Linked DNA regions of Anolis sagrei. The protein of the gene in region 1 purifies or fractionates together with the protein of each later gene. This does not show direct contact. Links are inferred from orthologs where the notes say so. Each region holds a gene or a part of one and is shown on either strand. Other genes may lie near its edges.

Evidence for each region.
Region 2: the proteins of ATP11C (region 1) and TMEM30A purify together in Homo sapiens (co-immunoprecipitation; 4 studies listed by BioGRID and IntAct, with this or other methods). This does not show direct contact. The link is inferred for Anolis sagrei from reciprocal best matches to the Homo sapiens genes ATP11C and TMEM30A.

Annotation. Positions count from the first base shown.
Region 1 is NC_090030.1:26,808,629-26,824,393, forward strand, and holds the start of ATP11C (phospholipid-transporting ATPase IG), read right to left. Parts: upstream 8,074-15,765; 5' UTR 7,937-8,073; coding exon 7,886-7,936; intron 1,039-7,885; exon of another isoform or gene 1,024-1,038; coding exon of another isoform or gene 1,003-1,023; intron 1-1,002. UniProt on the Homo sapiens protein: Catalytic component of a P4-ATPase flippase complex which catalyzes the hydrolysis of ATP coupled to the transport of aminophospholipids, phosphatidylserines (PS) and phosphatidylethanolamines (PE), from the outer to the inner leaflet of the plasma membrane.
Region 2 is NC_090021.1:110,952,742-110,969,087, forward strand, and holds the start of TMEM30A (cell cycle control protein 50A), read left to right. Parts: upstream 1-7,625; 5' UTR 7,626-7,779; coding exon 7,780-8,091; intron 8,092-16,346. UniProt on the Homo sapiens protein: Accessory component of a P4-ATPase flippase complex which catalyzes the hydrolysis of ATP coupled to the transport of aminophospholipids from the outer to the inner leaflet of various membranes and ensures the maintenance of asymmetric distribution of phospholipids.

The DNA.
Region 1 (15,765 bases):
AACATTCACAAAAGGCTGTAGAACAACGGCAAAAGCAAGCAAACAATTATTGATCTGGTGAGCTTTGTGGAACAAACAGAAAGCAACAACGTTTGGAGACAAATGGTTTTGATTCATAGGACTTGAAACCACACACAGAATGTCCAACTTTGAACTTCCAACATCACAAATGCCTCAACATCAACATTCACAAAAGGCAATAGAACAACAGTAGAAATAAGACAACCATTATTGATCTGGTAATCTTTGTGGAACAATCGGAAAACAACAATGTTTGGAGACAAATGGTTTTGATCCACAAGACTCAAAAACACACACAGAAAGTCCAATTTTGAACTTCCAACACCACAAATGTCTCAACGTCAACATTCGCAAAAGGCAGTAGAACAACGGCAAAAGCAACAGAACAATTATTGATCTGGTGAGAGCTTTGTGGAACAATCGGAAAGCAACGACGTTTGGAGACAAATGGCTTTGATCCACAGGACTCAAAACCATGCACACAAAGTCCAACTTTGAACTTCCAACACCACAAATGCCTCAACATCAGCATTCACAAAAGGCAAAAGCAAGAGAACAATTATTGATCTGGTGAGCTTTGTGGAGCAAACGGAAATCAACAATGTTTGGAGACAATTGGAATCAAAACCACAAACTTCAAGGCCAACTTTGAACTTCCAACATGTGTTGGAGATGGTGGAGATCCCATCCACAAGTAAGGATGTCCGTCCCTTCTACAAACAGGTCTTCCCAACTGTTCTAAGGAAAACTTGGAAACTTATACTCCAAAGCAGCTTTTCACCAGTAGCTCCAACAAAATGTTCTCTCTCAGAGACGCCACCAACGTGCACAAACTCCAGAATTCTCCACTATATGCTGGAATTGCGTTAGACCTTCAGGGATTCCGTAGCAGGCGAGCCAAAATGGAATGTGTTCCCCAAAAAAGTAATAAAACGTGAACATATGTAACCATAACCACCCCATAAACCGACAAAAACGTACGGAATCAGATTCACAGGCCATCCCATCGGACACGTCGTCTCCGGCGAAAGAGGATTCAAAAGAATACGCCAGAACTCTTAAGTTATTTTTTTTGCCGTGACCTACTTAACTCAACTAGTTTGAGATTGGCCAATTTTTCTAAGCAGTGAGTTTATATGCCTTCTCGCGCGCACACATCTCTGCATCTCCGGTATGGAAAAAGTTTCTCACAAACCAAGAAATTAGGAAGGATTTCTTTTTCCTTCTCCATCCAAACAGCTTGGGTGGGAGTGGCGATACGTTAAAAATAGTTCTCATGTTTCAGGAGGGACGCATCTATCATTGGAAACAGAATGGACCCTGCAGTGTCCGATCAGGAGGGTTTCCACACAAAGACCTTGAAGTTGTGTTCCAAGTCTTGATATCTTAGGTAAGTTGACATTCCTTTTTCCTTCCTCTCTAACTCCTTTTGAACTTGGGTGGGACTGCTGACTGGAAAATCCTTCCAAGATCTCTCTATAGTCCCCTGATATTTCACACCCTCCTACTATGGAAATCTTGCCTTTGGCGGTTGGCAATACTGTTAGCTGTCATTTTTGCACCATCTATATCAGAGGTCCTCAAACTTTTTAAACTGGGGGCCAGTTCACTGTCCCTCAGACCGTTGGAGGGCCAGACTATAGTTTTTTAAAAAAAAATCAATAAAAAAATTCCTCTGCACATTGTACATATCTTATTTGGCTGTGTGGAAGGACCCTTAGAGGGAGGGGGTTCTTTCTCGCCCTCTTTAGGCAGTAATTCCAGGAGCAGAGAATGGGAAATCTTCCTATTTCTAGTCTGAACAAAATCTGGCTACCAGTATTTAAAAAACTCTAAAATTATAACTGTAAATAAAGAACAACACTCAAACACAGGGGAACTCCAGACAAGAAACAATCAGGGCCAGCTAATCACCTCTCAAGAAAGGATTCTCCCTAAAAACTGTCAGGCTATGAAATGGTAATCAAGGTGGACAATTGAAACATTCATGCCTACCTCCAACAGACAAGAGTTCTTTCTCCCACCCTGGATCTTCCACAATTTTCCTAGTTAAAGGTTTTCCTCTGACATGAAGTCCAGTCGTGTCTGACTCTGGGGTGTGGTGCTCATCTGCATTTCTAAGTCGAAGAGCTGGCGTTGTCCGTAGACACCTCCAAGGTCATGTGGCCGGCATGACTGCATGGAGCGCCGGGGCAGCCTCTCTTGGCTAGCTCATGCTGCCCATTGGGCCTGACAGATAGCGTGAGCCTGCCAAGGGAGGAGCAGCCCTGCGCGGCCTACTCGCGCGTAAAGCATCTTGCGAAGTGCTTTACGCGCGAGTAGGCCGCGCGGAGCAGCTGCCCTTGGCTGGCTCACGCTGCCCATCGGGCCTGATGGATAGCGTGAGCCAGCCAAGGGAGGGGCACTGTGTGGGGGGGGGCACTCCTCCTCCGCAGGCTGGATAAGTGGCTTTGGTGGGCCGGAAGTGGCCCGCGGGCCGTAGTTTGGGGACCCCTGATCTATATAAATAAAAATGTAATGTTCGTTTGTGGGATTAACTTAACCCAAAATCCACTGGATGAACTGACACCAAATTTGGACAGAAGACACCTATCAAGCCAACGAGTGTCCCTCTCTCTATATATAAATGCTCTATGCGTAATGAGTACCTTAAGAACAAAAGGACCAATGAACGAAATCACACCAAATTTGGCAACAAAAGGTCTCACAACACAAAGAGTGACCATCACTCAAAAAAAAAATGATTTTGTCATTTGGGAGTTGAAGTTGCTGGGATTTATAGTTCACTTATAATCAGAGAGCATTCTGAACTCCACCAATGATGGAATTGAACCAAACTTAGCACACAGAACTCCCATGACGAACAGAAAACACTAGAAGGGTGGGCATTGACCTTGAGTTTGGGAGTTGTAGTTCACCCACATCCAGAGAGCACTGTGGACTCAAACAATGATGTATCTGGACCAAACTTGGCACGAATATTCCATATTGCCCAAATATGAACACAGATGGAGTTTAAGGGAAATAGACCTTGACATTTGGTATTTGTACTTACTGGGATTTATAGTTCAGCTATAATCAAAGAGCATTCTGAACTCCACCAATGATGGAATTGAACCAAACTTGGCACACAGGACAAAAGAGAGAAAGAAGGAGGGAGGGAGGGAGGGAGGGAGGGAGGGAGGGAAGGAAGGAAAGAGAGAAGGAAGAATGGAACCAAAGAGCAAAGGAAGGAAGGAAAGAAACAGGTAGAGAAGGAAGAAAGAAAAAGGGAAAGAAGAAGGAAAAGAAAAAGAGGGAAGGAAGGAAGGAAGGAAGGAAGGAAGGAAAGAGGGAGGGAGGGAGGAAGGAAGGAAAGAAGGAAGGAAGGAAGGGGAGAAGGAACAAAAGAGAAAGAGGGAGGGAGGGAAGGAAGGAGAGAACGAAGGAAGAAGAGAAGGAACAAAAGAGAGAAAGGGGTAGGTAGGTAGGTAGGTAGGTAGGTAGGTAGGGAAGGAAAGAAGGAAGGAAGGAAGGAAGGAAGGAAGGAAGGAAGGAAGGAAGGAAGGAACCAAAGAGCAAAGGAAGGAAGGAAAGAAACAGATAGAGAAGGAAGAAAGAAAAAGGGAAAGAAGAAGGAAAAGAAAAATAGGGAAGGGAGGGAGGGAGGGAAGGAGAGAAGGAACAAAAGAGAGAGAGAGGGAGGGAGGGAAGGAAGGAGAGAAGGAAAGATGGAACCAAAGAGCAAAGGAAGGAAGGAAAGAAACAGGTAGAGAATAAAGAAAGAAAAAGGAAAAGAAAAAGAGGGAAGGAAGGAAAGAGGGAGGGAAGGAAGGAGAGAATGAAAGGCAAGAAAGAGGGAGGGAAGGTTTGGCCACAGTTACTCATAAAAACACTGAAAAACACAGCGGAATAGACTTAAAAAGCCAAAAAAAAATTACAACGCATGCGCATAACCACATAAACACACATATACACAAATATATAAATACACACATATACACATATATATACACACACAAAACACATCTCTACAGACTGGGCCATACAACGTGTGGCAGGGGAGGGCTAGTAATATATATAATTCAACAGAACAAAAAGAAGGCAGCAAACTTGACGGTTAGGAATTGTGAGAGTTGGAGTCCTAAACACCTGGAGGGACCAAGTTTGCCCAGGTCTGCACTAAACTATGTCAGCCTAAAACTCTCAAAAGGGGTTTACATTCATATACAAGTACAAGTTTCATATGGACCGCAGGCACGTGGGGCAGAGATTAGTATCTACTTTCTGTTGAGAGCTTCAGATGCCAAAGTTGGATGGTTCAATGCCAGGTGATTCCTCATCTCCAGGCCACTTACAGAAGATTGCTTTTCTCCTTGCTGGGAAACTGGCTTCTTGTCCATATCTGATAAGGATCTAGAACATGGGTTGGAGATGATAGGGTGGTTAAAGTTCCTCTTTTGGGGTGCAAAGGCACCCCTCCAAACCACCTGGCCGATCCCAGAACAGAGGCAGAGGAGAAAGGTCCCAGCATCAGAGGCGTTGGCATGGCAACTGCCCAGCCTGGGTACCAACTGCCATGGAATGCAAAGACAACCAAGGCTGGGTTTCTTCCTTGAAGAAGAGCAGGCCGGATAAACAGATGACAGATAAGATAGATAGAGACAGACAGACAGACAGACAGACAGATCAGAGGTCTGAAGGATCCAATGAATAAATGGATGGATGGTTGGACGGACAGACAGATATGAGAGAGAGAGAGAGAGAGAGAGAGAGAGAGACTGACTGACTGACCAGGGGTCTGAAGAATTCAATAGATGCATGCATGGATGTTCGGTGACAGACAGATGATAGATAGATAGATAGATAGATAGATAGATAGATAGATAGATAGCCAAATTGACTGACTGACCAGGGGTCTGAAGAATTCAATAGATGCATGGATGGATGGTTAGACAGACAGATAGATGATTGATTGATTGGCAGACAGACAGACAGACAGACAGACAGACTGACTGACTGACTGACTGACTGACCAGGCGTCTGAAGAATTCAATAGATGCATGGATGGATGGTTGGACAGACAGACAGATGATTTATTGATTAATTGATTGATTGATTGATTGATAGGCAGACAGACAGACAGATTGACTGACTGACCAGGGGTCTGAAGAATTCAATAGATGCATGGATGGATGGTTGGACAGACAGACAGATAGACAGATGGACAAATTATAGATAGATAGATAGATAGATAGATAGATAGATAGATAGACAGATTGACTGACTGACTGACTGACCGACCGACCGACCGACCGACCGACCAGGGGTCTGAAGAATCCAATAGATGGATAGATGGATGGACAGACGGATGATCAATGATCGATGATAGGTGGATGGATGGACGGACTGACCAGACAGACTGACAGACTGACCAGTATCTGAAGAATCAAACAGACAGACAGACAGACAGATAGATAGACAGACAGATTGACTGACTGACTGACCAGGGGACTGAAGAATCTAATAGATGAATGGATGGATGAATAGATGATAGATCGATAGATGGATGGAAGGATGGACAGATTATAGATAGATAGATAGATAAGATAGATAGACAGAGAGACAGACAGACAGATTGACTGTCTGACCAGGGGTCTGAAGAATTTAATAGATGCATAGATGGATGGATGGACAGACAGATTGACCAGACAGACAGACTGACTGACCAGGTGTCTGAAGAATCCAATGGATGAATGGAAGGATGGACAGATTAAAGATAGATAGATAGAGGGGGGGGGGGAGGGAGAGACAGACAGACAGACAGACAGACAGATTGACTGACTGACCAGGGGTCCGAAGAATCCAATGGATGGATGGATGGATGGATGGATGGACGGACAAACGGATATTCAATGATCAAGGATGGATGGATGGGTGGACAGATGGACTGACCAGACAGACAGACAGACAGACAGACTGACCAGGTGTCTGAAGAATCCAATGGATGAACTGAAGGATGGACAGATTATAGATAGATAGATAGATAGATAGATAGATAGATAGATAGACTGACTGACTGTCGTCTGAAGAATCTAATAGATGCATGGATGGATGGACAGACAGAAGATCAATGATGGATGGACGGACGGACGGACAGGTCGCAGGATCGAATCCGGGAAGAGGCGGATGAGCTCCCTCTGTCAGCTCCAGCTCCTCATGTGGGGACGTAGGAGAAGCCTCCCACAAGGATGGTAAAAACATCAAAACATCTGGGCATCCCCTGGGCAACGTCCTTGCAGACAGCCATTTCTCTCACACCAAAAGCGACTTGCAGTTTCTCAAGTCACTCCTGACATGACAAAAAAAAAAAAGGACTGGAAAAAATGGATTTTGGACTTCACTCATTTCCCACATTGGCTCGAAACCTTGAGCACAATGTAAATATATATATCAACATGGATTTCAAAGGTTGCACAATGGTCACCGTGGTCACTTGAGTTCGCCGGTTACACAACGGTGAAATAGCTGCCCTTTTGCTCCATCAAATGGCGAAACAAAGGACATTACCTCTAACATTAAGTTGCACTAAAGCTAATAGGAAACCTGGTCTTTTCTGGATCTCCAGAATGGATATTAGAATCCTGTTTCTAACTAAAATCACTTTTTTTTGCTCGTGCACTGAGCTTGGCATCCTCTTTCCAAAGTTGGAAAGGGGTTTCAATGAGCTGCCATTTTTTAAAAAACTTTTCCTTTCGGTTGTATGGTAAACCAACATTCATAAATCAACCGTGTGGATGTACTCTTTATTCCTTCACTAAATTCAAAGAAGTTGAAATTTAATCTGCATTTCAATTATTATTCCACAGATAATATAAACCCCACTTGCCTAGTTTCCAATGGACCTCACAACCTCTGAGGATGCCTGCCATAGATGTGGGGAAAATGTCAGGAGAGAATGCTTCTGGATCATAGCCAGACAGCCTGGAAAACTCACAGCAACCCAGTTATTCCAGCCATGAAAGCTTCGACAAACTCACAGCAAACCAATTGTTGTTATTGTCATAGATGTTGGCAAAACGTCAGGAGAGAATGCTTCTGGAACATGGCCAGACAGCCTGCAAAACTCACAGTAACCCAGTCATTCCAGCCATGAAAGCTTCGACAACCTCACAGCAAACCAATTGTTATTGCCATAGATGTTGGCAAAATGTCAGGAGAGAATGCTTCTGTAACATGGCCGGACAGTCTGGAAAACTCACAGCAGCCCAGTCATTCCAGCCATGAAAGCTTCGACAAACTCACAGCAAACCAATTGTTGTTATTGTTGTTGTGATAAGATTTCAACTTTTCTCTTAAAGGAGACTCAAAGCCACAACAAAGCAAAACTCAACGACACTTCTCACAAACGCTGGTTTGTGCCAAAGCTGCAACTCACCAAATTTGGGTTGAAAATAGCCATTAATTGTAACTTGCTAATATAATAAAACATGAAGCAAAGTATCAGGAGAAGGGAAGCAAATTCTAAAACTTTACAGCGAAAAAGGGAGAAAACGGGATATTTTACGTAACACATTGAACACACAGCAACAAAGCCTTTTTTCTTGGCACTCTCCAAGCCTATTCTCTTTGGAATCCAAAGCAAATATGTTTTTCCCATTCATGGCATGTTGAAACAACACTTTTGTGAGTTGCTTAAGTGTGTTCGAGATAGAACGACTTTATCCGAACTGACATTCCGCCTTAACTACTTCATTCCTTTTATCAGTTTCTGTTTTTCCGAAACAGATTGTTCTCCCTTTGCATTCTTTTTGCAGAGATAACAAGCAAAATGCCATTCTCTTGCAAGGAGAACCGGCTCTATCTATTTGCTCTCTTCTCTTACCAGGCCAGACCACAATTTCAGGACACTTTCCGGGGATAAGGCAAATTCCATGTTATTTTTCCGTCTAAAACAGACGACGTTCTTCCATGTCCCCAAAGCACGAATTTAAGGAAATAAAAATGGCGTTGACGGCTGTCTCTTTTTTTGGCAGCTGAGCAAAAAGAGAAGGGAAAGTTGCTTTTGTAGACAAGCTGGGCAAAGATCAGCTTGCCTTAGATCCAATTTCAGAGGAGGAGGAGCCCGAAAGGCCAAAAACCTGATGGGCCTTAAAGGGTGCAGCTCTTGCATGAGTTTAGCTGGGAGCAAGTTCTGCAATAGTCAATAGGACTCCCTGCTTTGAAATATGCACCAAGTTCTGCACAAGTTCTACACTTAGATGAAGGGCTAGAAGGCATGATCATTAAGTTTGCAGACGACACCAAATTGGAAGAGATAGCCAATAGTCCAGAGGACAGGAGCAGAATTCAAAACGATCTTGACAGATTAGAAAGATGGGCCAAAACTAACAAAATGAAGTTCAACAGTGACAAATGCAAGATACTCCACTTTGGCAGAAAAAATGAAATGCAAAGATACAGAATGGGTGATGCCTGGCTCGAGAGCAGTACGTGTGAAAAAGATCTTGGAGTCCTCGTGGACAACAAGTTAAACATGAGCCAACAATGTGATGTGGCGGCAAAAAAAGCCAATGGGATTTTGGCCTGCATCAATAGGAGCATAGTGTCTAGATCTAGGGAAGTAATGCTACCCCTCTATTCTGCTTTGGTTAGGCCACATCTGGAATATTGTGTCCAATTCTGGGCGCCACAATTCAAGAGAGATATTGACAAGCTGGAATGTGTCCAGAGGAGGGCGACTAAAATGATCAAGGATCTGGAGAACAAGCCCTATGAGGAGCGGCTTAAGGAACTGGGCATGTTTAGCCTGAAGAAGAGAAGGCTGAGAGGAGATATGATAGCCATGTATAAATATGTGAGAGGAAGCCACAGGGAGGAGGGAGCAAGCTTGTTTTCTGCTTCCTTGGAGACTAGGACGCGGAACAATGGCTTCAAACTACAAGAGAGGAAATTCCATCTGAACATTAGGAAGAACTTCCTGACTGTGAGAGCCGTTCAGCAGTGGAACTCTCTGCCCCAGAGTGTGGTGGAGGCTCCTTCTTTGGAAGCTTTTAAGCAGAGGCTGGATGGCCATTTGTCAGGGGTGATTTGAATGCAATATTCCTGCTTCTTGGCAGGAGGTTGGACTGGATGGCCCATGAGGTCTCTTCCAACTCTTTGATTCTATGATTCTAATAGTCAATAGGACTCCCTGCTTTGAAATATGCACCAAGTTCTGCACAAGTCAATGGGAGTTAAGTTCTTGTGGGTTTTTTTCGGGCTATAGGGCCATGTTCTAGAGGCATTTCTCCTGACGTTTCGCCTGCATCTATGGCAAGCATCCTCAGAGGTGGGAGTTCTTGCCTCTTAGGGTGAAACGCCTAACAATACTTGCAAAAGCGATGCGAAGCACATCTGGATGTGTAATTGGCAACCGTTCTGTGCCAAAACCCACAATTCAGTTTAATGGCTGCATTGTGTGTGCGTGTGGCATTTGCAGAAGCATACGGGAAGCTCGGCCTATCATTAAACATCGAGAAAACCAAAGTGCTCTTCCATCAGTCACCAGGCAATCCCTCTCCAATGCCAGAAATACAGCTTAATGGTGTAACATTAGAAAATGTTGACCATTTCCGCTCCCTTGGCAGCCACCTCTCCACCAAAGTCAGTATCGACACTGAAATACAACACCACCTGAGCTCTGCAAGTGCAGCATTTTCCCGAATGAAGCAGAGAATGTTTGAGGACTGGGACATCCGTAGGGAGTCCAAGCTGCTTGTTTATAAAGCGATTGTCCTCCCAACCCTGCTATATGCCTGCGAAACGTGGACTGTCTACAGACGTCACATGCAACTCCTGGAACAATTCCATCAGCGCTCCCTCCGGAAAATCCTGCAAATCTCTTGGGAAGACAAGAGAAGACCTCTCCAACAAAGTCAACATCGACACTGAAATACAACACCACCTGAGCTCTGCGAGCGGTCGGATATACGGGACTCCACTGTATTTTCAACAAGTTTGAGCAAAACACTGTGCATTTCATGCTGTACTATTTTTCACTGCTTTTCCTTTTGCCTTGTGATGGATGTCTAGTGTTGTTTTAAATATTAGCAAAAGTTTACAAACATTTCAATGGCAATCGTTGCTATGTTTAGTCTTTGTTTCAAATGGCAAACAGTTTCCGGAGAAAGCTGAGATGTAAATAAAGTGAATAACTATTGTATACTAGGCTTGGGTAACAACGGAAAAATTTGTTTCTAAACTCGTGTTTCCTTTTTTTAAAGAATTCCGAATTTTTTCTTTAAAAAAGTTCGAAATTTATGAAATTTCGTAAATTTCGAATCGATTCGTTAATGACGGACGCGATTGCGCAATATGCTAAAAAAACCTCCAAATGGGACAGGGAGAACTTCTGAAGCTTCCTCTCCCTCTGTTGTTGACTGTTGGTGTGAGAAAACAAACAACAACGATATTATATTATATTATTATATATTATATTATATTATAATATTATTATATTATATATTATTATATTATATTATTATAATATTATTATATTATATTATTATAATATTATTATATTATATTATTGTATATTATATTATTATATATTATATATTATATATTATTACATTATATTATATATTATATTATATATTATTATATTATATTATTATAATATATTGTATTACATATTATATATTATTATATTATATTACGAAAATAATGACGAAATAATTACGAAAATTGGAAAAATTGTTTCGATTCTTAATTACTCCTCACACTATTTCAAAATGGCTCAATATCGGATCGTAAGCTAATTTAAATATGAATTAATAACGAATTACGAAATTAACGAACGAAACCGCCCAAGCCTATTGTATACATATCAAAATGTGAATATTGCATTTAATTACAGTTAAGACATCAACAGTTTTAAATACCTGCAGGCATGAAAAGTTAGGTGGCAGGTCAGGTCAGGCAGCAGCTATTCTACCATTTATTCTACCAAATAAAATGGATATAAGATGTGGCGGCAAAAAAGCCAATGGGATTTTGGCCTGCATCAATAGGAGCATAGTGTCTAGATCTAGGGAAGTCATGCTCCCCATGCTCTATTCCGCCTTGGTTAGACCACACATGGAATATTGTGTCTAATTCTGGGCACCACAATTCAAGAGAGATATTGACAAGCTCGAATGTGTCCTGAGGAGGGTGACTAAAACGATCAAGGGTCTGGAGAACAAGCCCTATGAGGAGTGGCTTAAGGAGCTGGGCATGTTTAGCCTGAAGAAGAGAAGGCTGAGATTAGATACGATAGCCATGTAAAAATATGTGAGAGGAAGCCACAGGGAGGAGGAGGGAGCAAGCTTGTTTTCTGCTTCCTTGGAGACTAGGACACAGAACAATGGCTTCAAACTATAAGAGAGGAGATTCCATTAGAACATGAGGAAGAACTTCCTGACTGTGAGAGCCGTTCAGCAGTGGAACTCTCTGCCCCGAAGTGTGGTGGAGGCTCCTTCTTTGGAAGCTTTTAAACAGAGGCTGGATGGCCATCTGTCAGAATGGGGTTGGACTGGATGGCCCATGAGGTCTCTTCCAACTCTTTGATTCTATGATTCTTTGGTTCCGCCCCTTGTTCACGGCTCTGGGAGGGAAAGGAGCCATTTTTGGGGTAGTCTCACACAAGGTAGCTAAGCTATAGGATGTAGACCAGCTCGTCCCATAGAAAAGCTTCCTTTCTCATTAACATCCAGGGATACAGAAGCAGAAATTCCAGGGGAAAGGTCCCAAAAACTCTGGCCGAGAGCTTGCAGCCTCTCAGCCTCACAGCATCAGAGGGAACAGCCCTGAAGTTTTCTAAGAATTCTCGAAGGGAGAATAGCATTACAGATCCACGGAACTCCAGTTGAAATATCTTCAAGTCTCGACTGGTAGGTCTACGCGCTACCCAGATACATTTGGAATCGGTAGTAGGTCCCACACCGATGAGGCATAGATAGTAAACAGCCTAGGTGAGGTTAAAAAGGGTTCTTTTCTTACAGAGAAAGTACAGTTATTCAAAGTCAGGTACCAGTCCATTGAGGACTAGACTAAGAAAGTCTTGAAGTGTTATTTGAACCTTTGAAGATTTGGTGTTTGTTCCATAATAAAGACTTTGTTGTATCATTAAAGACTCTAAAGACCATCACTTCAGAAAAATCCCTGAGAATCTCTCTTCGAGGCCCCCGGCTTCCCGCTGTGCTTAAAGTATACGTCCTATAGAAAAGTACAGCTGTTACAGGCCCAGCGCGCGACAGAACACTCAACACTCTTGGTAGATAAAAGGACAGAGCTTGTACAACTACAACTCTGTGTAATAAGGTTAACACTTGGTTGTTTCACTGGCACAACAACAATAACACAGAGGGAAGATTGCTTATTTTCCTAACACCTTTTATTGATTTTATGAGAGCTGGATGCAATTTAATACTATCAACAAAGCCTTAGTGCCGTATTAAGATTAATTCAGATTTATGGTTGTTTGCTGAAAATCTTTATCTTAGCTCTTATAATCATTGATTTTTTTATTACGGTATATGATCATACTGCTGTGGCTGTTCTTTCCAATTATGACACATATTGCTCTCGAGCCAGGCGTCCCCCATTCTGTATCTTTGCATATCAGGTTTTTTTTCTGCCTAAGTGGAGTATCTTGCATTTGTCCCTGTTGAACTTCATTTTGTTAGTTTTGGCCTATCTGTTTTGGCCCAGGCGTTCCCCATACTATATCTTTGCATTTCAATTTTTTTCTGCCTAAGTGGAGTATCTTGCATTTGTCCCTGCTGAACATCATTTTGTTAGTTTTGGCCCATCTGTTTTGGCCCAGGCGTCCCCCATTCTGTATCTTTGCATTTCAATTATTTTTCTGAATAAGTGGAGTATCTTGCATTTGTCCCTGCTGAACTTCATTTTGTTAGTTTTGGCCCATCTGTTTTGGCCCAGGCGTCCCCCATTCTGTATCTTTGCATTTTAGGGTTTTTTTCTGCCTAAGTGGAGTATCTTGCATTTGTCCCTGTTTAACTTCATTTTCTTAGTTTTGGCCAATCTCTCTAATCTGTTCAGATCATTTTGAATTCTCCTCCTCCATGTCTTGCCTTTTTCCATTATCGGGAATGGAGAGAGTTGGGGAGCGCTCCTTTAATTGAAGGAGAAATGCTGGAGAAAAAGGGGGCGCTGGATCAGAGCGTTGGATAAGACGGAATGTCGGATAAGCGAAGGTCGGATACGCGAGCCTCCACTGTATTTCCAACAAGTTTGGGCAAAACGCTGTGCGTTTCATGCTGTACTTTTTTTTTCACTGCTTTTCCTTTTGCCTTGTGATGGATGTCTAGTGTTGTTTTAAATATTAGCAAAAGTTTACAAACATTTCAATGGCAATCGTTGCTATGTTTAGTCTTTGTTTCAAATGGCAAACAGCCTTGTTTCCGGAGAAAGCTGAGATGTAAATAAAGTGAATGAACTATTGTATACATATCAAAATGTGAATATTGCATTTAATTACAGTTTAGACACCAACAGTTTTAGATACCCGCAGGCATGAAAAGTTAGGTGGCATGGTTAGGCAGCAGCTATTCTACCACAAATAAAATAAAATGGATGTAAGACCTGTTTTGCAATCTAATATCTTCAGGAAGAGAGCCAGCATGATTTGAGTCTTGGATTATGACCAGGAGAGGAAGGTAATAAATAAAAATTCTTATTCTTATTCTTATTCTTCTTATTATTCTTGCAGCGGTCTGCAAACACTTAGAAACAAATGCGGTCATCGCTAACAGTCAACATGGATTTATCAAAAACAAGTCATGCCAGACTAATCTGATCTCTTTCTTCGATAGAGCTACAAGCTGGGTAGATGCGGGGAATGCCGTGGATGTAGCATACCTGGATTTCAGTGAGGCCTTTGACAAAGTTCCCCATGACCTTCTGGCAAGGAAACTAGTCCAATGTGGGCTAGGCAAAACGACAGTGAGGTGGATCTGGAATTGGTTAAGTGGACGAACACAGAGAGTGCTCACCAATGCTTCCTCTTCATCTTGGAAAGAAGTGACAAGTGGAGTGCTGCAGGGTTCCGACCTGGGCCCGGTCCTGTTCAACATCTTTGTTAATGACTTAGATGAAGGGCTAGAAGGCAGGATCATCAAGTTTGCAGACGACACCAAATTGGGAGGGATAGCCAATACTCCAGAGGACAGGAGCAGGATTCAAAACGATCTTGACAGATTAGAGAAATGGGCCAAAACTAACAAAATGAAGTTCAACAGGGACAAATGCAAGATACTCCACTTTGGCAGAAAAAATGAAATGAAAAGATACAGAATGGGGGACAATGCCTGGCTCGAGAGCAGTACGTGTGAAAAAGATCTTGGAGTCCTCGTGGACAACAAGTTAAACATGAGCCAACAATGTGATGTGGTGGCAAAAAAAGCCAATGGGATTTTGGCCTGCATCAATAGGAGCATAGTGTCTAGATCTAAGGAAGTAATGCTACCCCTCTATTCTGCTTTGGTTAGACCACATCTGGAATATTGTGTCCAATTCTGGGCACCACAATTCAAGAGAGATATTGACAAGCTGGAATGTGTCCAGAGGAGGGCGACTAAAATGATCAAGGGTCTGGAGAACAAGCCCTATGAGGAGCGGCTTAGGGAACTGGGCATGTTTAGCCTGAAGAAGAGAAGGCTGAGAGGAGATATGATAGCCATGTATAAATATGTGAGAGGAAGCCACAGGGAGGAGGGAGCAAGCTTGTTTTCTGCTTCCTTGGAGACTAGGACGCGGAACAATGGCTTCAAACTACAAGAGAGGAGATTCCATCTGAACATTAGGAAGAACTTCCTGACTGTGAGAGCCGTTCAGCAGTGGAACTCTCTGGAGATGTGGTGGAGACTCCTTCTTTGGAGGCTTTTAAGCAGAGGCTGGATGGCCATTGGTCAGGGGTGATTTGAATGCAATATTCCTGCTTCTTGGAAGAATGGGGTTGGACTGGATGGCCCATGAGGTCTCTTCCAGCTCTTTGATTCTATGATTCTATGATTATTATTTTGTCACTGCTATGAACCATAATATAAATATCGGCTATGCAGGATGTGCTCACTGGACCAAGTTTGGTATAAATACCTGATATGCCCAAGTTTGAATACTGGTGGGTTTGGGGGGGATTGGTTTTGCCATTTGGTGTGGGATGGTCAAGAGTGTTATTCTATACATGATCCCTGCTATTTCAGTGTTGCAATGATGACAAATTCCCAATCAAAACTGACCGCTCCGATGCTAAGCCTGGTTATAAAATAAGCCAAAGGATTTGGTCAAGCTGAACGAGGCCCACTTCCCCTACTTACTATATTAACAGCTGCGCATCGTCCGACTCCTATCATGACCTTTCCCGCTGCCTTTATTTGTGGCCTGGAATGCACGATAAAGCTAGCCGCTGGTAATTTGAGAGCCGGAGAACTATTGTGCGAAATGCCTTGCGAATAAACAAGAACAAGGCCTTTGAGATTGTCCCTAATTCAAAGGAGAACCCGAATCCTTCTTTAAGACTTGAGTTAGTTTAACCCAGGGAAAGCCACATTAAGCTGGCCTAAGTCGTCAGTGTGCCGTCACACCCAGATCCTATAAAATTAAAACTAAGATGTGCTTCTCTCTTTGTCTGGGCGGACCGTGGGGGTCTTTCTTTAGAAGCTCAAAAATTCTCAGCAACTGAGGCCACTTCAGGTTTGGAACATCAAAACGGAGTATTTA
Region 2 (16,346 bases), on another chromosome or scaffold:
ATGCAGTACAAGCCTTTTGCTCCCCAGTTTATAAAGCACTGCATTGGAATGAGTGCAAATCTTTAAATCTAGCACATTATTTTATCTTGTGCCACAACTGCAGTGCATTTACGACTTGCACTGGGTATAAGGGAGGGCTGACTAGGGATAGAGAAAGTGTGCATGGATCTTCTACTGATCCTCATGGCTTTCTCACTATGTTCTGTGTTCAGGCAATTGAAAAACCAGGTTGTACTGTATGTTATTGAGATTCTTGGCACATAAGTAGACATAGTTGTTTCCCCTTTATTAAAGTATCACAGGATGTTCCCTGAAAATGAAGATACCAAGGTAATAGAATCATGGAATTGGAAGAAACCTCTTGGGCCATCCAGTCCAAACCCCTGTCAAGAAGCAGAAAAATCTCATTCAAAGCACCTCTGACAGATGGCCATCCAACCTGTTTAAAAGCCTCCAAAGAAGGAGCCTCCACCACACTCCGGGGCAGAGAGTTCCACTGCTGAATAGCTCTCACAGTTAGGAAGTTCTTCCTAATGTTCAGGCAGAATCTCCTTTCCTGTAGTTTGAAGCCATTGTTCTGCGTCCTAGTCTCCAGGGCAGCAGTCCTTTGCCCTCGGCATGATTCCAATCTGTCTTTTGGAAATGTCACAATTCAGGTAGCCCTAACCTGCGTCATGTGTTTGAAGTGGTCATTTGAAGTTTCTGTACTGTAAATATACTAGTGATTATGTTGTGGGGCCCTCATTGCCTTACATGTTTTCCCTTGCTAATAGCCATTGCTTTGCTATGTTTTTTCTCCTTCAGAGAGCATCATTATCCACCAGTTACGCATGAACACAAGATGAAACACTGGCCACTCCATTCTGGACTTAAAAACTTCCTTCTCTGCGCTGCTTGGTTGGATCATTTCCGAAGCTCCACTTCTGCCACTGTCCTCTTCCATGCTACTGATGATGTATGGAAGGAATTTACTTCTTCTGTCACAATCTGAGGGGTTTTGTGCAGATTTTAATTGTTTGTTTTGTTTTTTTTTTTTAAAAAGAAAAATGTGTTTGCTGATTTTTTAAAAACGAGATGGAAAAGGAATTACATCTTCTGTGCCAGTTTTGCTCTAACTCTGAATTCATTGGCACCTGCTTGATTTTTGTTTGAAGTTTCCTACATAATTTATTTTTATAATACACTTTGTGATGCAGTGTTTTTTTGTTATGTATTTCCCTCCAACTTTGATTTTTGTTGTTTGTGGCACGTTCATTTGTAGAATAACACTGTCAAAACTGCCATTGCCTGTGTGGAGTCTATGAAAATGTTGACTTGACCTCAAAGATGGCACTTTTTCGAGGAAACTTGCCACAAGGTTACCTAGCCATAATATGACTGTGAGATTAGTTGCCCTGAGGACTGCTTTGTGAGGATAGTTTTATAGTGGGGTTTTGCCTCTTGCACTGTGCGATGGTTTAATATAAAACCGAATACCAACAAACCAAAGCCTTGAAACTGTGTTAGATGCTGAGGTCTATTAAAACAATGCTCATATATTGTGTGCTTTTACATACACCTATACCAAAAAAAGTTCATTTTTATCACATTGTAACAAATAAATTTTCACAAGTGTGCAACACTGCTATGGTGTCTCAGTTGTACCCTTGTGATAGAAGACAGTTAAGACCTTATTGGCAGTTCAATAAGATTTAGGGGTGAGGGGGTATTTTTTTTCTTCGTGTCAGAAGCAACTTGAGAAACTGCAAGTCGCTTCTGATGTGATAGAATTGGCCATCTGCAAGGACGTTGCCCAGGGGTGACCTGCTTATTGATGTTGTATCATCTTGTGGGAAGCTTTTCTCATCTACCCGCAGGAGAAGCTAGATCTCGACAGCAGGGAGCTTATCCCGCTCCTCAGATTCAAACCGCCTGTCAGTCGACCAGTTTTTGCTGGCACAAGGGTTTAACCCATTGTGCCACTGGGGGCTCCTGGAATGGGGGAGCTGATTCCTTGTGAGTCAAGTATTGACTCAATATAGTTCAGTCTTATGCAGAGTTTAATACACCTAAGGTGATTTATTTCTCTAAACCGAGGAACATTTGTCAACATCAGTTCATGCTGTAGGTTGGGCGGCTATGATAAACTCCACATTGCTATATGCAAGAAGGGGAAAATGGAAGGAAAAAGGAAGAGGGGCCGACCAAGGACAAGATGGATGGATAGTATCCTTGAAGTGACTGGCTTGACCTTGAAGGAGCTGGGGGTGGCCAAGGCCAACAGGGAGCTCTGGCGTGGGCTGGTCCATGAGATCACAAAGAGTCAGAAGCAACTGAACGAGTAAACAACAACAATATGCAAGAAGGCATACAAACCTAACACTGTGTACCTATAGAAGAAATGTCAGGTCTGAAATGAGCAATGCAGCAGTGATGGCAGTGGCTGGGATCCAAAGATGTTTGCATAGGAGACTAAATTGGTTTTGCACATATATCAATATTCTGTCTTCTTGCTACAGTAAATGACTTCCCTGAAGGTCTCTTAACCCTTGATAGTTTTTTAAAAAAATAAGGATGGACATGTGGAATGAAACATGCACAACTCTCAGGACTTCAGTCCATTTTTATTTGTTCATTGTCATTCAAGTTAGTGCAAGAACGTCTAGTCCCTTAGTTCCCAACACGGTGCATATACCCCACAGTGGGGAAATTTGATTTTTAAGGGGGGCAATTTGAGAATGAGTTATTAACAGGATTTTTTTTTGCATTTCTTACAGTTCTTGGGGCCTCATATAAAGTATATAAATACATATTGTAACATAAAAGGTAAAGGTTTCCCCTTGACATTCAGTCTAGTCATGTCCGACTCTGGGGTGTGGTGCTAATCTCCATTTCTAAGCTGAAGAGCCAGAGTTGTCCGTAGACACCTCCAAGGTCATGTGGCATGAAGCACCTTCCCACAGAAGTGGTACCTATTGATCTACTCACATCTGCATGTTTTTGAACTTCGAGGTTGGCAGAAGTTGGGGCTAACAGTGGGATCTGACCCAGCTCCCCAGATTCGAACCGCCGACCTTTCAGACAGCAAGTTCAGCAGCTCAGTGGTTTAACCCACTGCGCCAGTGGGGGCTCCATACTGTAACATATTCATTTTAAAAATTAAAATCAGAATTTACATGGCAATCAGCTGGTGACAATGGAGAAGGGGAGAGTCCACTCATAGAGTGTTGAGAGCATGGAGTTAACTAGACAGCAGAAGAGCACAGAAAAGCACAATTATTACTTTCATAGGTAAGTCAGTATTTTTGTATAATTTAAAAAAAAATTCAGGCGCAAGAAAATTAACATCTAGTGAGAGCATATTCTTGTATTTTCTCACCAAATACATGCAATGAAATTGGACACTTAAAAGTTTCCCTGAATTCTCAATTCAATTTGTTCTTCTATTTTTCTCTTTCATGGATGCCATGTTCTTTGGAAGCTTGTTTAGAGCAAGTTAATGGCCTTTCAGGCTTCCTCCAAGGTCACAGGGGTTCGCTTTTTACATAATAAGAATTATGTGTCACCGGGGGGGGGGGGGGGGTGGTGATCAGGATTTTAGAGATGCTTAGGTGTAACATGGTAAAAAAAGGGGTTGGGAACCACTGGTCTAGACACTCTCTACTGGTGTTTTGCTTGCAGCTATGGCTGGCATCCTCAGAGCATATTTATTTATTTATTTAGGCTCGGAGAGGTTTACAATATACACATGTGATACATTACATATAAAATCAAGAAGAACTTCGATCAGCAAAATTCAAATGCCGCCCTAAAGAAATATTTGCCTGTATATGGCCTCCAGCTACAACAGCTACACGGCCATAGCATGTACTCGAGCTGAGAGTACTTCAACGGCCTAGCTGCCCGACCATAGCAACACCTATTGAATGACTCCTTGTGTCTTAATTGTATTACATCAAAACTAGAATGAAGTCCAAAGAAAATAGTGCACACATCTGAAACAATTATATCTTGTAAGCCTCTCTGAGTCCTGAGTCCCCTTCGGGGTGAGAAGGGTGGCATATAAATGTAGTAAATAAATAAATAAATAAGCAGCAGGACATGATACCCAAGCAAGAGCTGTCTACAACTATAGTAGCTACTGATGGGTGATCTCTCAGCTACCCCTCCTACCAGTCACTACATGGCTGTGAGGCAGCATAGGAAAAACTGACCAATTTTCAGAGATTCTTACACTGAGGAGAAACATACTTAAAGTCTTGTCAAAAGTATTGTTGAAGGCTTTCATGGCCGGAATCACTGGGGTGTTGTAGGTTTTTTCGGGCTTTGTGGCCATGGTCTAGAGGCATTCTCTCCTGACATTTCGCCTGCATCTATGGCAAGCATCCTCAGAGGTAGTGAGGTCTGTTGGAACTAGAAAAAATGGGTTTATATACATACTTAAAGTCCTTTTCTCCTTTATGGGAACCACAAACTTAAAGAAATACATTTCTAGTTGGTAGCTGCCACAGGATATTAGGCACGGATTGCAGTCACAAGCCATAGCAACGCATGCTCCTTTTTTTTGGATGTCTTTCCCTTGCATTTTCTGACCTGCATGATAAAGACAGGATCTTCAGCTTTTGGAGTTGTTTGTCCCATCTCAGCCCACGGGCAACAGCCACAGTGGATGATATTCCTTCTTATAGATTTGTGCTTCGAGGCTGATGAGCCCTGAGGGGCATGCAAGTACCGCTTTGGAAAGGGTGCACATGCGGGCCTCTTTCCACTGCCAAGAGAAGCATTTTGCCCTCAAGGGCTTGCATAATGTCACAGTGAATCGAATACCTGCCTAATTATGGTTCAGAGAAACCAGCATCTTCCCATCCAACAGAAATGATCAAAGGCTTGGAAACCAAGCCCTATGAGCAACGGCTGAGGGAGTTGGGTATGTTTAGCTTGAAGAAAAGCAAGGCTGAGAGGGGACATGATAGCCATGTCTAAATATTGAGGAAGGACAGTCTTGTTTTCTGATGCTCTGGAGATCAGGACACAGAGCAGTGGATTCAAATTGCAGAAAAAGTGACTCCACTTAAACATTAGGAAGAACTTCCTGTTGGTAAGAGCTGTTTGGCAGTAGAATATGCTGCCTTGGAGCTTGGTGGAGTCTTTCTCAGGAGGTTGTTAAGCAGAGCCTGGGTGGTCATCTGTTGGGAATGATTGTGTATTCCTGCGTGGTTGAATGAAGTTGGATGGGTGGCCCATGTGCTGTCTTGCAACTCTGTAGTTCTATGAACCTGTGAACCACAAGGTGGTTTCCACTTATAATGGCTACATTATGACACATGCAAAATAGTTGCGACTAGCATTGCACCAATCTTTGAAAGAAGATTGAAGGCTTTGAAAGGGTGCTTACATATTTAAACAGATTTTTAATTATTTTAATTGTTTTAAATCTTTATGGTACTATTCCATCTATTGATTCTTAATACTCTTACGTTTAATTCTATTTTAATGTTTACCATTATGTCTTTTCGGTTTTAGATTGTACATTTTAATGATATTTTTTATCATTGTTAATCTCTTTTAAGAGAGAAAAAGTGGGATATAAATGATAAATAAATGACAACAATCAAGATAAATAATAATAAAGACAAGCAACAATAATATAAACAAAAATACCTAAAATATAAAAATACAGATTATTTAAGAAGGGGTTTAATATTTTAATAATTAATAATTAACAATAATAACCATTGATGTTATTGTTTTTAGATATTTTAACTCTCTGGTATTTAATGCAGACGTTTACCAATTGTTATGTTATTTTAAGGCATTGAATAGTTGCCAATATGTGAGGCTGCTCTGAGTCCCCCTCGGGGTTGAGAAGGGCAGGGTACAAATCTATATAAATAAAAATGTAATGTTCGTTTTTGGTATTCACAGAACTCAAAAACCACTGGACGAATTGACACCAAATTTGGACGCAAGACATCTAACAACCCAATGTATGTCCTTCACTCAAAAAAAATTGATTTTGTCATTTGGGAGTTGTAGTTGCTGGGATTTATAGTTCATCCACAATCAAAGAGCACTCTGAACTCCACCAACGATGGAGTTGAACCAAACATGGCACACAAGACTCCCATGACCAACAGAAAACACTAGAAGGGTTTGGTGGGTATTGACCTTGAGTATTGGAGATGTAGTTCACCTACATCCAGAGAGCACTGTGGACTCAAACAGTGATGGATCTGGACCAAACTTGGCACGAATATTCCATATGCCCAAATATGAACACAGATGGAGTTTGGGGGAAATAGACCTTGACATTCGGGAGTTGTAGTTACTGGGATTTATATTTCACCTACAATCAAAGAGCATTCTGAACCCTACCAACGACAGATTTGGGGGAAACTTCCCACATAAGAACCCCCATGTCCAACAGAAAATACTTAAGTCCATCCAGTCCAACTCCCTTCACCAGGGCAAGAAAAAGTAATCAAAGCCCTCCTGACAAAGAGCCATCCAGCCATAGATATTGATAGATATGATTCACACACACAGAGATATAGTATCATAGATTTGAAAGGGACCCCTAAAGATTGACAATTATATGTTGCATGTTCCAGAGTAGGCAAACCAGACCCTCTCCACATCAACAATGACAAAGAAACAGCAAGAAATACTGATTACCCACAATGAGAACACTTTCGCATTACTTTATTTTCCAGATCACCAGACTGGGCCACAGTAACGTGTGGCTGGGGATGGCTAGTATGATAAATAAATAAATACATAAATAAATATATTTTAGGGCTGGGCTAAGATTTAAGGTCTAAGGCAACAGAGCGGTTTAACCCACTGCGTATATTTTAAGTTGTGATGTTTTTGATGGTGAGCCACTTTGAGTCTCTGTATGGAGAGATAAAGCAGGATATACATAAATAAAAAACCCTAATAATAATAATAATAATAATAATAATAATAATATCTTTATTGTATCCCGCTTTTCTTCCACCAAGGGACCCAAAGCGGCTTCCAACATCTTAAAACAGTACAAATCCAAGAAAAACGCATATAACGCCTAAATACCAAACCATAAAACAGCGCAGAAATAAGATTTTAAAACAATAATCCAGTGGTTCTCAACCTTGGGTCCCCAGATGTTTTTGGCCTACAACTCTCAGAAATCCCAGCCAGTTTACCAGCTGTTAGGATTTCTGGGAATTGTAGGCCAAAAACATCTGGGGACCCCAGGTTGAGAACCACTGCAATAATCAATAAATCTTAGCCGTGTTCAATTAAAATACGAATTCATCTCCAATTTTTTTCATATGAGGAGCGACTTGAGAAACTGTAAGTCGCTTCTGGTGTGAGAGAATTGTCCGTCTGCAAGGACGTTACCCGGATGTTTTGATGTTTGTGGGAGGCTTCTCTCGGGTCTCGCCTCCTTCCCAGTGCGCATGCGCGCAAGTGGCCCCGAGCGAATCCTCCTCCGAACGCCGCAGGGCGGGGTGAGCGAGGAGGAGTGGAACGTATCCTAGCGGCGAGCTAAGTAATAAAAGGAGACGACGCAGGGTCCTGGCAGCGTACTGCGCCTGCGCACGGCGTCGAGGGCTATGTGGGAGGTGTTGAGGAGCCCGGAAGGAGGGGAGGGCTGCTGCTGTTGCTGCTGTTTGGGCGTTGTTGGCGCAGGCGCAGTCGCGGCCCTTATACAGCGCGGCGCGCGCGGCGGGTGGCCAGTGTCAGTTGTCGCCGTTGCTGGCGGCGCTTCCTGTTCCGCCTCTCGCGCGGCCCTCCTCCCCCTCCCCCGCCTCCATGGCTATGAACTACAACGCGAAGGAGGAGGCGGCGGCGGCGGCAGCGGACGGGCACCCGTCGGGGATGGCTTCCATGCCCGGGGGGAGCGGCGGCGGCGGCGGGGGCTTGGGCGGCGCGGCCCGGTCCTCGGTGGGCGCCGCCAAGAGCCGCAAGCCGGACAACACGGCCTTCAAGCAGCAGCGCCTCCCGGCCTGGCAGCCCATCCTCACGGCCGGCACCGTCCTGCCCGCCTTCTTCGTCATCGGCCTCATCTTCATCCCCATCGGCATCGGCATCTTCGTCACCTCCAACAACATCCGCGAGTATGAGGTAAACAGCTCCCTGCCCGCGTCGCCCCTTGCTCGGCTCTGACGTTTGGTCCGCCACCTTGTTTGGACTTCAACTCCCAGAAGCCCCGGCTGGCTTGGCCAACGGCCAGGGACTCTGGGAGATAATAATAAGAATAATGAACCTTATTTCTACCCCGCCACCATCTCCCCAAGAGACTTGGAGCGGCTTACATGAGGCCAAGCCCAACAACACATCAATAAACCAAAAGCAATAAATACAATACAATTAATATAAATCACATATAATAATAATAATAATATTTATTTATTTATTTGATCAGCCATATGACCATTTCAAAATAGAACACGAGTAAAAAACAAGACAAATAAATACTAAATCACATATAAACAATAACACATAAGGATTTAAATACCTGTGGCCAGGTCAAATGTAAGAGTTAAAAAATTAAAAAAATAAGCGCTGGGCATGAACGAGGTAGGATATATCTGGTATAGGGTTTTAAAAGAGATGAGGGAGCGCAGTCAATCCTAAAGTGCACCCTGAGGACATATTTCTGGGAATTTTCCTTATTCTGGGAAGGCACACTGGAACAGCCACGTTTTCAGGCTCCTCCTAAAGACTGCCAATGTTAGGGCATGCCTGATGTCCTTGGGAAGTGAGTTCCAGATTCGGAGGGCCACCACCGAGAAGGCCCTCTCCCTTGTCCTCACCAATCGCGCCTGCGAAGGAGGCAGGGGTGCGAACAGGGCCTCTCCAGATGATCAAAGAGATTGTGTGGGTTCATACAAAGAAATGCGATGAAGTCCAACAGCTCTGGAAGGCCAAGGGTAAGAAAACCCTACATCATCGCTACTGTTAGCCACCTTCTCAGCCTCAGGTCCTTTCTTTTTTCTTCTGAGCTACTTAAGCCAAATTCCCAACCAGAGCACCATTCCACTTTCACTTATTGCACTCATAAATTATCTGAACACTTGGTCCCATATCCAAGTTTTCAGTTTTCCCCTTAAAAGAAAAGAGAGTTTTTCCCCTAAAGGAGAGAGGGGGCTAATATGATGTTACTAGGAAGGGAGTTACACAACCAAGGGGCTACCACTGAGAAGGCCCTGTCTCTCATGCCCAACAACTGCACCTACGGGGGAGGAGGGACCGAGAGCAGGACCTCCCCAGAGGATCTTAAGCTCTGAGATGGTTCATAGAGAGAGATATGTACATCAGAGCCCCTCCCCCAGCAACAATATAATATTATATAATAATATTATGAATGATGTATTAGTACTATACTAATAATATAGTATGTTGTATGTACATATGACTTGTAAGCCACTCTGAGTCCCCTTCGGGGTGAGAAGGGTGGCATATAAATGTCGTAAATAAATAAATAGGTAAGCTGGACCAAAACCATTTAGGGCTTTATAGGCTAAAGCAGTAGTTCTCAACCAATAGGTCCCAAGGTGTTTTGGCCTACAACTCCCAGAAATCCAAGCCAATTTACCAGCTGTTGGGATTTCTGGGAGTTGAAGGCCACAACATCTGGGGACCCATAGGTTGAGAACCACTGGTCTAAGGCCTCACTAAACTACAAAGCCCAGAATTCTGCAAAAGGCAGCAACAAAATTTCAAGTAGGGTGCACACGCTCTACCTCCCCAAACTAAGGTCCACGGCTGGATGTGACCCTCCAAGGTAATTTACTCAGCTCCCAGCCTTAGCATGACCCTAAATCTGAAACAACTGGAAGGCACTCAACAACAATGATCTTAATTAACTTGACTATCTCATCAGCTAGAAGCAGGCCCACACTTTCCATTGAAATACTGCCAATATGTGTTTGGGCTTGGCCCCATGTAAGCCGCCCTGGGTCCCTTCGGGGGGATGGAGGCGGGGTATAAAAATAAAGTTTTTCTTCGTTTTAAATATTTTATTGTCCTTTTTTTACACTACAAATAAAATAGTTCAGTGTGTATAGGAATTATTTCATGTTTTCTTCAAGTTTGAGGATCTCTGCTCAATACCTACTCATTAAAGTGTATCTCAGTAATGATGAGAAGATGAAAAATATACCCTTGAGTGCACCTATACTGACACCACTTGGACAGCCATAGCTCTATTCTATGGGATACTGGGAGTTGTAGTTTGGAGAAACAACAGGATTATTTGCCAGGGAAGGCCAAAGATCTTTGAAAGTACATCTTCCATAGCATTGAGGTGTGGCAGTGAAAGTGGTGTCAAACTGTGTCAATTCAATAGTGTAAGTGCACCTAGATTGTTGCTACTCTCCTCCACCATCTCTCTCCCCCTCCCCCCCCCCTTTCCAGGACTAAAAGCAACAAGTGAACAAGGACAAAGGGTGCCTCTACACTATAAAATGAATGCAGTTTGACACCACTTGAACTCAATGCTGTAATGTTCTGGGATTTGTAGATTAGTAAAGCGGCAGCAGCATATGGCCGAAGAGACTAAAGACCTTGTAAAACTACAGCTCTCATTCTATATAATTGTACCATGACAGTTAAAGTGCTGCCTTAGTCCAATCCTATGGAATTTAGGGATTTGTGGTTTTTCGACACTCTTTCGGCAAGGAGGCTAAAATCCTTGCAAAACAACAACTCTCATGACTCCATAGCAGAAGTGTGTTAAACTGCATTCATTCTAGAGTGTAGGTATGCCTTAAATGTTGTCATGGCAGTTAAATTGGAATCATAGCACTATGACCATGTAAGAGCCAAGTTGTCTTGAGAGGTGAGGCAAGCAGGCCTTAGCAAGTCCCAGACTTCTCTTGAGATAGAAAGAAGGCGATGGCCTGACCTAACTGGTTTTTTTTTGGTTGGCATTATTAAGAAACCCTTTGAACTGATTAATGGCCATGGAGGTGACACAGAGCTTAGTGACGGTGTTAGGAAGGAGATCAGTATTTTGAGGAAATGGAAAATGATGGCACACCCTGCTCACTGTTGCTTTGCTGTGACTTGTGCGAGGTCCAGATCCGCTTGAAAACAATAGCTCCTTTGGGATTATTGAATAGTACCTAGAAATACCAGTCAGTATGATCGGTTAGCTGTGCTGTTTGGAAGAATCTGGGAATTGTTGTTCCACCCAGATAACTTTTCCAAGTTTTGATCCAGGTAAAGGAATGTATCACATATAGGCCTAAATATTGTTGTTAGTCATGGCTAGAGTAGATACATCTGTGTTGACTCACAATTCAGCAATAGCTTGAATAGGTTCTATTTAGACTTAACCAACAGGATACCGGCCATGTTGTTACATATTTGCATGACAGTCATGACTGCACATATAGAGATTAATGTTACCTGTATCTGATGGATGCATTTATGTATAAGATTTACTTAAGATACTTGCAGAACTTTGTGAATAGCTCACATCTTGTACAAATCAGATCTTTTTTAATCAGCTGTTTCCTACGGTTTTTTCACTGATATGAGAAATGTAATGATGAATGGACATAGAAAATGGGGGAAATAGTGTTTGTATGTAAAGCACTCATTGATAAATTACTAAACTGCTAGCGAATAGAGTTCATTACAACATTCATATTCTGTTGGTTTTTCATATTATGGTATGTATTGTAAGTTGAAATGCGTTTCCTTGTGGAAAGAAAAAAATGGGGTATAAATAAACAACAACAACAATAATTAACCCTCCATTAGGCCTCTTCAACCTGCAGCCTTCCAGGTATTTGGACCACTAACTCCCAGAAACCCTTGCCAGCTTATTCAATGGTCGGAAATTCTGGTTGCTGATGTCCAAAATACCTGCAAGGCTGCAGGTTGAAGATTTCTGCCCTGTAAGTCTAGAAAATCAACCAAAAAAAACCTGGGACAACTTATCTATAGGTCACTATCATAACTTATCTTAACTATTTTTTAAAAAGGAATTATTTCCCTGTCTGAATAGCGTGGCAGAATACAAGAGCTTAGCCTGTCCTGGAAGAACCTAAAAAGGACACTGCTGTGACTCTGCTTCTGGCATTTTCAAATGCATGGGTGAGGAAATGTCAGGGATGGCCCCCTGAGGTATGTCGGCCACTTTTCTCTCTCTGTGGAACAACCTTCAAATTATTCATGGGTCAAATAGAACGCCATAATTTGGTCCCCAAAACCCTCCCCGAGTATATATAATAATTAAAAGATGAATTCAAAACTTCATCCCTTTTTTGAGTTGAGAGTATTCATAAAGCCCCCCCCCCCTCCCAATGACCATATTTGATGCAATACTGGCTTATGACACTGACATTCTGTGCCTTTCTCTCCTCCTGACCTGTTTGTACATTTGAGAATTCTAGTTACATGGTATTAAACAGGATAAAAAAGCTAAGATTATAGGAGATTAACATTTACAGCCTTTTATGACCTTGATTTCTGAAGCAGTTGATGAATGTTGGAATATGTAATGATGCAGACTTTGATGGAGAGCCATATTATAGGGAAATATGTTGTGATGGATCTAGTTATTCTTGATATGGAGTTAATTGTTGAGGAAGACATTATGATGAAACTAGTTACTGTAAGTCCCCATTGGACTTATACAACATTGGGATCTTTATTATTCACAACTAACAGTGAATAATAAATATCCCAATGTATGAATGTTTAGAATTCTGATCTGGTAAGCATCAAGCTATCAAAGATTCAGGATATAAGACAAAGTAAAGTGTATGTTAAGTTTGCAGGAAATACGGGAAATAAATAAAGTTGAGAGTAGGAGGAAGAGAAACAGTAAGTTTAAAAAGGATAGAAAAATATTAGTAAATTGGTAGAGTGGGGGTATGAAGTATTCAATTTGTGACATTGGACAATAGGCTTGATTAGGCAGAAGCTTAAAAGGCCATGTTCTGGAGGAACAGAAAGCTTAGTTGATTGAGTAAAAACAATAGTAGGAAAAACTGTGCTTTAGATACAATAGTTGAAACTTAGAGGTAAGGTGCAAATAAGGGCTATGTGAGATCAAGGTTCATTGAAGATCACTTTTAATTGCTTTCATTCAGAAAACTGAATCAATTAAGAAATAGTTGAACTTAGGTTGACCACTACTTCAAAAATTATCTTTCTCTACGTGAGAAGGAAGAGGGCCCCCCAACTCTGTTTTGTGGATTTTGAATACATGATACATTAGAATTATTAATCTTACTTTTGTCCTATAGATAATTGAAACTGTTCAAGTGTTTCTGCTGTTTTTGCTAATACTGTCTAGCAGCCTTTGTCTTCCTTTGTGTTCAGAAAAATGGACATGGAAATATTCAGAGTTGCAGGGGACACACATTTCTCATAGGTCTATGCAATCTGAAGGGTATTGATATAGACAAATAGACTGTCTTTCTAGATATGCATATTCATTACACTTTTTTTGCTCATATTCTGGGTGTGCTATATTTTTTGTGTTACAATGGTTAGGAAAGTAATTACAACCAAGAAATGTAAGAATAATGTTGACAGAAAACTGGTTATACAGAAAACTGGCTATACATAGTAATCTTAAATAATCCTCTAATAGTTTTGTGAGTATTAAATTGACAGCAGATTGTTAAATTATCTCATGGAGAAAGTCAGTTCTCCTCAGTAAGCTTACATCCAAGTTTTGATGGGCTACTGGTTTTGATGATATGTTTGTCTTCAGCATTTCCCTGCATAACGTAGCTATACTACAAGAGTTCTATTTTTGGAATTGTGAAGGTGACTTGAAATGTAAGAAGTATTCAGGAAAGGGAACTAGGGTTCTTAAAGCCAAATCTGGTATGTCAGTAGAATTGTGAATGGCAGCTTGGAGATACTTCTTCTATTGTCCTTTAGAATATGACCCAAGTTGGTGGGTATGCTTTCAAGTACCTTGAAGATTGATATTTTTCAATGATGGGATGAGAAAGTGGACTTAATCCAATACAGGGTAGGGATGGTGATAAAACATCTGCTTGACTGTGACTACAACTATATGAAGTGGCTTGTTGAGCTAGGTGCTGTGTGCCAGAGAAGGGGAATGTGTTTCCCTCCACATTGAAGATTCCATCAGTCCTAACTAGGATAACTCAGGTTGAGTAATGGTGGGAACTACTATCCTTAATAATGTCACTTCATAAATAGAGAAATTCTACTAGTCTGATTTATTCTTCTTCTGGACATTACCATACTAGTCAACTAAAAACACAGCTGTAACATTATACAAGCATATCAGGAAGTACTTTCAATTAAGTCTTTGGAATCATCAGGCATTACTATGTTTACCTAGTTACCTAGTTTCTTCCAGCTTTTTAACATGTTTCTGAAACTCCAAGGAATATGTTAGTGTAGATTTAGAAGACATGCTAGGATTTCTGTATTTGGTTTTAAATATTAGTCAACATGTGACTTATGGCTTGGGTCAAACTACGAATGCATTGTGTAAATCTATTGTCTGTACATTGTTAAACACTGTTATGGCAAGCATCCACTTAAACAGTTTATATTGAGATTATTGCTGCTTATCAACAGACAGATAACGAATTAGAAGCTGAAAGGCATTATGGAACATCAATTGCAAGGTTGTTATTAAAGGTTTCTGCAAGTATTGGATTTTTGTGAAAGCTAATGTATATAATCTCCCCAACACAAAATTAAAACTTATTTCAGAAACAAACTGTATAAGATGCCAATTCTGCTGTCTTCCACTAGACCCGTGATCACATGATAATATCGATAAAATAATAGTATTATTGAGCAAATCCTTGACATTTATCTTGTATTAAAATGAATATTTAAAAATCAATTACTTTAATCAATTTTTGAACTGCATGAAAAATTCAAAAACAAGTTTGCAGTGTACTTCTTGTCCTCCTGATGCACTGTGTTCTGCTAATTGCTTCTAAAAATACAGACCTTTGTTTCCATACATAAGAACACAAAGCACATCACTCAACCTGCCAATGCTGAATTCTTTGCTCTGCTGCTGTTTCTAAAAGAAGCCATTCAGCTTGTCTTTAGGACAAAATTATAACAGATATAATGAGAGATGGAACCTTCGTTTCATCTTGCTAGTGCCCAAAATGTTGTGGTTATAACCAATTGTGCCAAACTGTAAGTTGCAAAGTGGGGAAAATGAAACTGAATGTTCAGTATAAATTTCACAGTGTATAATTAACTGGTAGATTGTCTTTTTTTGATTGAGCTTGTTTATGAAACTCCTATTCTCCAGTAACATCTCACCTGATTATACTCACATACTAAGACAAAAGTGAAGGAACACTTTTCCTCGTTCCAAAAGAACAGTGAAGCAAAAGGATCATGAATAACTCTTGTGGTTACTTTGTAATGTGAATACTTATAGTTTTTGCTGTTCTAAAGTAACTTTCCAGAAATAACCATCTTAGTATAAGCATGACATGTGACTTGTCTAAGCCTGGAGTACTCGGCTTCTTTGACCTCTAGGACAGCGTCTTTGTTACCATGTTCAGAAGTTTCTAGGAGAACATGTGGGCTGCAATTTCAGTCTCATAAAATAAAAAATGTTGATTATTGCAACAAGAGATAGTCTCATACACATTTCTTGGGTGAAGTGCCTAACCATGATTTAAGCTCTTAAATGATCACATAATATAAATATATCCTAAGTGAGCACAGCAATAATTTTATAACAGTTGGAAAGACCATTTAAAAATTAGGAGAACTTCCATATATATTAGAGCATAAATATTGCCAAGTATAAACCTGGATTTCTCTATGCAGACAACAGGATTTCATGTGGTATACTCAAAGTAGCTGTCAATGGAGCTGTCACTTGTTGCCACCAAAATTGACCGGCCTGATTCAAAAACTCTTCAGGCCCTATTTCCTAATATGAAAAAATGGAGGATATTTCTACAATGTCTTCCTTCTGCCACTCCATAACTATCAGATAGAAATTGTATTATTAGGCTTGTTCTAACCCACTGGAGATTTTATATAATACTAAAGGGTAGGTCAGACAAGCTTGGAGATTGATAAATCTGTAGTGTGTTCTGAATAACCCAAGAGTAGTTGTCTGTCACAGTCTTCTGAACCTTAACACTGATACACAGAACGACTGGTGCTTGAGAGGAAAAGCAGCAAGTAATGTACTATTTGAATCCTAGCCTAGAAATATCAATGTTTGAACATATATATGCTATTTCTTCATACATATGAATGACACGGAGTGATTTATATTAATTATAGTAATAGTCTCAGTAATACAAATAATCAAGACAATATAAAATATAGCATCAAGTGAGATTGACTCAGCAGAGCAGATTTTCTAGATGAGCTCCATA